Linked DNA regions of Caenorhabditis elegans. The protein of the gene in region 1 purifies or fractionates together with the protein of each later gene. This does not show direct contact. Each region holds a gene or a part of one and is shown on either strand. Other genes may lie near its edges.

Region 1 (3,757 bases):
TATAGCTTTTTCACTTGGAAAATTGTCCTGAAATCTTCGTGTAGTGTAACATTATTAAACCCGCAGATAAGCACTTCTTCTTGTATTTTTTCCTCGGCTTTTTCTAGCAACAACAAAGTATCCATTGTTTCCACAAAACGCATTTCGTCGCAATTGCTGTCAGTTTGGTATCCTTTTAGTTCTCGTTGAACCACTTTTCGCACATTTTGACACAACTTTACGCCTTCCTCACTGATATTTGTGTATGCTGAAATGTTAAACAATTTTTAGAGAATTAATCCACCCTTAAATATTTTGCAATTTTTTAAATTTTGCAGAAAAACTGTAATTTTTGAAAACTAAAAATTGAAATGACAAATCACGAACAAAACATTTTACTCTGCTTAATCCTCCGATTTGGATTTTTTTTTCAGACTCGCATCTTTGAACCAATCATCGGATAGGTAACAGTGATTTCATGTTTAAATATTGTTGTTGTAGATGTTTTGTAGCAATGTGTAGCAAATTAAAACCTACCATCATCAAAAAGTAGCAACAGAAAAATAGCCATGTACTCAATTTTGTCGAGTTTTTTGAAATGAATCGGAACAGCGGTCTCGTAATAATGGAAATCCCAGTATGGTTTGAATATTTTTAAAATTTCGTGATCCTTTAATCGTTTTTCTTTCGGCATCGATGATCCGTAAAAATGAAGTAACATATCCGTATAATCTTTAGATTTGATATAAGCCTTTGATTCTTCGTAATCTGGACAAATCGCTACAGCTGAATCCAACATCATCCATCGAGGAAAAAAATTGCAAAGAATTGAATGCTTATCAGCCTCACTCAAAAGTTTTACATCTGTAAATATTTTCTCTCCAAGATCCCATAAAAGATGCGTGTCTCGCTTGACGAAGCTTGAAAATTGTGTAAAGTTTATTTCGCAAATTTTCTCTCCGTATAAGTCTTTTCGCATCTTTTCAACTTTTGTCCATTTACTCACTGTACACGAGATATTTGAGCAATCACGAGGTACTATGCGAGCCTAGAATATATGGTTTATTGAAATTTTTAAAATAAAAACTTACTGATAACAAAGATATTGAAGAGATATGTCCAGGTAGACTAGATGTGGTAATTTTATTTTTCTCTCTGGATCCTTGCACTTCTGAAAAAATTTACTTGTCAGGCTCTCGGGAGCAACTATTGGAGAAACTGAAACACACAAACGTACACTAGAGTTGAAAGTGAAAGAGTAAAAATACAAGCTATTGGAAACGCTATGATGCATTTTTGAAAAGAGGTAGCTATTTACGACTTTTTTTTCGATATTTCGTATATCATATTTAAACATTTCATCCATAAAAACTTACTACACTTTACCATTCCCGTTGCCATACATTTCAGCATCCGACAGTGTCTGCAGGGATGTGAAGTTGCCAACCGGTGCTTACACGTACATGAAATGTCCAACTTCCTTGAGTGTACATATCGTCTGAAAAATGCTGCGCATGCTCTGAAAAATTATCGATTTTTATTTTCAATTGAATACAACGCTCACCTACATGAAATTCCTCCGAAATGGGGCTCCGGTCCTTCTGCCCCGCACACCTGGCACAGCATCTGAAAATTGCAATTTTATTTTAAAATTATATTTATTGCATAAAAAAGAAACCATTATAGTTTGAATTTATGAATAAATACAGACGAATTGGTTGGTGTTTTATAGAACATTTCGAGATTTAAACAGAAATCTGTAGATCAAATTACTTGGTCTAGACTTGTGATTACTAGAATCATTAAAGAGGAAGTACATCTATAACAGCCGAATAAAAGCTGAAAAGCACATGCTGATCAGGCTCAGCACGTCCATTGCATTGACACACCCATGGCTGTCCATCGCACGCACCGACCGTGAAAAATGGAAAGAGTTTGTCCGCAGTTGCCTCGCAACTTGAACCCAACGGACATCAAAGTAAAGTATCAAAGTAAGTACCAAAGTACACACAATGTTCTTGCACTGTGCGTTGGGAGCAGGATTATTAGTAGCAGGCTTAAAATTATTAACCGCAGTGATACGGAAAACTTGTCAAAATTTAGAGTTTTCATAGCTAAAATTAGACTTTTTAAAAGTTTTGGAACTTAAAACATTTTTATTCTCGAAACAATTTCGATCATCTATAAAAACTATAAAACTATAAAACTATTATTTACAAATAATTTACAAAACTATTAGGAGAGTGCAATATAAATAGCAACATTCTAATATGGAGAATACGGTATCTAGTGAACTTTCAAAAAATAATATAGTTCAAAAATTTCCACCACAGACAGATTTAAAGATATAAAGATACCCCTGAGGACTCGCCGCTGGGCCGCTCAAGGTGAGAACGGCCGAGTGACGTACTGACATGGTTGTCAAATGGGCAAAGACAAAGGTCTCTCCCGTTCCACAATTATGGGATACCATACAGCTGTGTAACTAAACGTCGCAGCTTGCGAGAAACGTACCAATTGTAAGCTTTCAACTATACTATGGTTTTCTGTTTGTTGGGAGCATGTTTGATGCACAAAAAGTTTTACTGTGGATATCCACAAAAGTTAGCAAATGTTGAAAAAATGTCAAAGTTCAATCCAATGTAAATGGAAACTTTTTCAATTGAACTCGGAAGTGACTTTTTAAACTTTTTCACCATATCAATGATATCATTTTCAAAATGGGCGTTTTCATGTTTTTAAGTCATAGAAAAAGCCAGATAATAGTTTTACAGGGCTTTTTCGTTTATCAAAAACGAATTTTCTGCACTCTTGAACTATTAATATGTTAGTAATAATAAAAATGTTAACGGATATGGTAAATTTAAAATTGAACGTCAGAAAATTTAATCGAAATTTTCCAATCTTGCTATTGTCTTTTTTCAAGCCTAGATTAAATCACAAATGATATTGAGTTGAAATTTGAAAAATGAAATGGTCTATGAACATCTGTTCTGATTTTTTGGTACTCAGTGGGACTACTCATAAAATTGGAAAATTGGAAACAACTTCTTGAAAAAAACATTCAAATCGCTAATTGGGAAATGTCCTACCAATTTCAAGGTGACGAGTCATTGTCGTGAAACAACCCAAAATCGATAAATTGGAAATTGGTATTTGAGGTCAAGATTGCAAGTAAAGTAAGGTTCAAGTAAAAAACGCAACAAAAAACAATACAATCTTTAATATATAAACCCTTTCTTCTCTATTAATAAACACTAAGAAAAACTTAAGAAAAAAATCTGAGAACTTTCTGAGAACTTACAAAGAATTCAATTTGTTTCACTGTGATATCTTATCAGTATGTGGTTTATGCCGCCAAAAATAAGTTTATTCGTGTCAGTATGTAATTTAGTAAAGTGTTATGTTTTTATTTTCAAAACTATAATGTAGAGTTTTCAAGTTGACAGAGAATTTAAGATTTCTACGTTTACAAAAATGCGCACATGTCTTGAAGGTGACCGAGAATTTACAAACTCAAGCACCAATCACTACAAAAGGCATATAGTAGGCACGGTAGGCACAAAAGCCCAAAAAAATGCTTAACTATTTTAGAAGCTCTGAGAAAAGGTTTGCATCTTTCATTTCCTTTTTCATAGCAAAATATTGAACTGGTGAACTTTACGAACAGGTTTTGCAAAAAGTCACGTGAATTCGGCAAACGATGTTCCTCGAAAACATAGGATTAACGAATTTTGTTTACTATATTTTCAAGAGATTTTAATTACTAATTACCAAA
Region 2 (3,757 bases), on another chromosome or scaffold:
TCCAATATTTTCATTAAAAATTAGTGCCAAAATAAAGAAAATCACTTGATTTATCTTTAAAAAAAAATCATTTTATGCAGCTGAAATATTCAAAAAAGCTGTCAAAAATCACCTGAAAGCTACCAATCATCGAAAAAAATTGGAGTTTTTCATTCCTTTTTGAGCTCTTTTTTCGAATGTTTCAGTTAAAATTGATAATATTTTCAACTAAATCAAGTGAATTTCTATATTTTGAACATAATTTTTAATGAGAAGTGTTGGAAAAACATGGCGCAATACGTCATTTTGTAGAATTACCACCCATGCCTGATTTGTTTTGATTTCAAATTTTATAGATTTAAAAAATTAATGTTTCTAAATTGTGTTCTGGAAAAAAAAACATTAGTTTTATAATATCACACTTGTACTATTTCTAAAACAATTTTCAATTCCAGAATCCAACTTCAATGCCTCTCACAATTATTCATTAATGTAACACTTCTCGGATGTGAATATTCTCAGACTTTAATGCAAAAGATTCGAACAATGGGTGCTGGAATTGCTGCTAACAAAGTAAGTGATCTTCATTATTTAAAAATATATTTCAAATTTAATATTCAGGATCGTACAAAAACTGGAAGTTACGTGAAGGCATCTGCAGCGAAAAAGCGACAAGCAGTGAAGACATCAGATTTAGAAGGAGCTTCTGATGAGTCTAAGTAAAAAAAACTTTTCAAAAATTGCAATTTTCAATCTTTTTGTTCCAGAAAAGTAAAAATGGAAAAGTCTCCATCGCCAGTAGCTCGTGAATCTTTTGATGAACGTCTTGGAAAACTCAAGGCATCTCTTGCAATGGTGAACATTTCAGATTTAACTTTTAATCTTTTAATCTTTTAATTTCAGACACCTCACCATCTAACGGGCGAACAAATGATGAAAACTGCCACGAATAGTTGTCTCATGAAGTGGCACGTGAACAAGATTAACCAGAAAATTGAAATAACTATCGATCGATATGTGGCCTTCAGACATACGTTTGTATAAAAATCTTCGAAACTATTTGAATTTCATGTTCTTTCAGATTCTCCCAATACTGTGTTGATCCAAGGGATTGTGCAATCAATACTCTAATTGAAAGCATTCTTTCGTGTGACGCCGCTGTTCACGAAGAAAGCTACGAAATTAGATTTGATGGAGTTCCGGTGGACGAGTGTTACGCTAAATCAGTCACCAGAAGACTTGCAAAAATTAAATCAGCAGTTTCTAATGGTGCACATACAGTTAAAGGCGAGCTTTTTTCATTTAAAAAAACAGTATCACTAAATTGAATGAAACATTTGGTCTCAAAAGTAAGGATTATAAAAGTTGGAACAATATCTCTTCAAAAATCATTTTAGAAGTGGGATTGTTGAATTTGATTGCAAGCTCGTTTTATCAATTTTCGGCTGTAAACCCATTTTTATTAGCGGCAACACGTTTAAAAATTTTAAAATATTGCTTCCGGTACTTATGGATGCCGTTCCCTGAAACAATTATTTTTAGAAAATATATTTGAAAATTGGAAGAAAAAAACTCGAAAGTTTGTTACAGTACTCAATCCGAACGGCAATTGGAAAACAAATAATTTTGCCTTCTTTTGAAAAAATGTATTTAGAAAACTTTTTCAGGTCTTACAACATATTTGGATGCAGTTAACATGTCAATGATTCAAAATACTCAAAAATTGGAAGGATGGTCTCAACAACTTGATCTCGTCACTGCCGATCTTCTTCTATCTTCTCGTGTTTTATCCAGCACTGAATGCACTAAACCAGCGATGGCAACGATCGCGAATCAAATGAGCGAAGACGTGTGTCAACTGATTCTCAACGATAAAATCAACGTCATTAACTCTATGAAATCTCACAGCTCTCTTGCATTCCAATAATCTCAATTAGCTTGATCTAGGGGAGCTTACTTTTTTTGCACTCGTGAATATAATTTCTATTGTTTTATTTATATTTGGCTTTGGTTTTTATACAACTACATCAAATTTCCTATGAATTTTACTGACTAATCGTTGCATTTTTACTCTAATTTTTTATAATGATGTTGAATCTCATCATTTTTACCTCTTTCGAAATGTTCACCCGAATCTGTATACCTATATGTGATTTCAGATGTCCTTGGCATTTAGAACCCTTTCGTTCGGTATTAAAAGATCACAACCGAAAAAGAAAGATGCCGATGATCTTAACAAAAAGAAAGAACTATCAACGATCACAGAAGAATCGCTTCGGAGATATGACGAACTTCGTGAAAAAATGATCGGAAAAGTCGAGTCAAAAATTGAGAAAAAAGTGAAGAAAAATAAAAAGAAAGGTTAATATTGTCTATTTAGTATAATACTTATAAACCATTTGTAATATTCAGCGTCGATTGAAATTCTTGCATCACGAAAGAGAGTACATGATTCTGACGGAGATTCTGAAAATGAAGTGGAGGAGACCGTTGGCGACGTGGAAAAGAGAATGCAGAAATTGGTGAGATTTCTACAGAAATTTAATTTTTATTTGAAAAAAAATCTTCAGCTCGACGACATTCGCCGTACCAATCGAATTTTCACTTGGGGTGATCATCTTCCTAATATTATTCTACGATTCTCCGATTCCAGCATGTCACCATCATTGCTCAATCGTCTATCTGAGAATTCAATCCGTCAACCATCACCAATTCAAATGCAATCAATTCCATTTATGACTGAGAGAAGAAATGTTCTTGCTAGTGCTCCCACAGGTAAAGACTTGAAAAGAGAAAAACTTCCAATTCCGGCTGTTCCAGGATCAGGAAAAACGTTGGCGTTTGCTCTTCCAGTCATCGATGAGATTCTCGAATTAAAGCAACGTGCTGATTATTCATCCTCTAACTCTTCGAAGCTGTTGGCAGTGGTACTCGAACCGACAAGAGAACTAGCAGCACAGGTTCTACAGAATTTATAGAATCGTAATCAAATTTAACGATTTTCAGACTTACACCGAATTTTTGAAATATTGCGCCAATACTTCGATCTCAGCTGCCAACTTCAGTGGAGAAGAAACTGATATTCAGCATGCAGATATCCTCGTGTCAACTCCAAATCGTATCGTTTTTCATTTGGATAAAATTGATACGTCTTCATTAAGGTTTGCATTTGAACCATTCCCTAAAAACTTTGTTCATTTTTTCAGATGGCTTGTCGTTGATGAATCCGATCGTTTGTTCGAGGTTGTTGAAGGCCAGGACAAGTGCTTCCGTAACCAACTCGCTGCAATTTACAAGGCTTGTGATGCCAAATGCACACGTGTCGCATTCTTCAGTGCCACATTTTCACATGAAGTTGAAAAATGGTACGTTTTCGAAGATTTGTCATATCAAAATTCCATATCTAAATTCCAGGTGTAAGGAGAATATCGATGAAATTGGTATGGTATGTGTTGGTGAACGAAACTCGTCTAATACAAGTGTGAAGCAAAAGTTAACCTATTGTGGAACTGAAGATGGAAAGAAAATCGCTATTCGAAATTTGTTGCGAACTTCCTTCAAACCACCAGCTCTAGTTTTTGTACAAAGCAAGGATCGTGCCGTGCAACTGGTGAAATTACTGTCTGCAATTGATTCAAATCTAAAAGTTGATTCAATCAACAGTGGAAAAAGTGATAAGGAAAGGGATGAAACGATGGAAAGGTTCCGTCGAGGAGAGATATGGGTTCTCGTTTGTACTGAATTACTTGGAAGAGGTCTTGACTTGTCTGATGTTGGA

What was found.
Region 2: the proteins of nhr-162 (region 1) and ddx-52 fractionate together in Caenorhabditis elegans (co-fractionation; one large-scale study listed by BioGRID). This does not show direct contact.

Annotation. Positions count from the first base shown.
Region 1 is NC_003283.11:6,990,257-6,994,013, forward strand, and holds the start of nhr-162 (NR LBD domain-containing protein), read right to left. Parts: upstream 1,616-3,757; 5' UTR 1,606-1,615; coding exon 1,544-1,605; intron 1,499-1,543; coding exon 1,356-1,498; intron 1,151-1,355; coding exon 1,071-1,150; intron 1,028-1,070; coding exon 517-1,027; intron 248-516; coding exon 1-247.
Region 2 is NC_003279.8:8,596,520-8,600,276, forward strand, and holds the start of ddx-52 (putative ATP-dependent RNA helicase DDX52), read left to right. Parts: upstream 1-2,138; coding exon 2,139-2,340; intron 2,341-2,391; coding exon 2,392-2,501; intron 2,502-2,549; coding exon 2,550-2,754; intron 2,755-2,799; coding exon 2,800-2,939; intron 2,940-2,985; coding exon 2,986-3,140; intron 3,141-3,185; coding exon 3,186-3,344; intron 3,345-3,393; coding exon 3,394-3,757. Other genes in the region: paxt-1 (Partner of xrn-2 protein 1), read left to right, coding at 435-552, 601-698, 747-834, 883-1,013, 1,061-1,266, 1,647-1,906.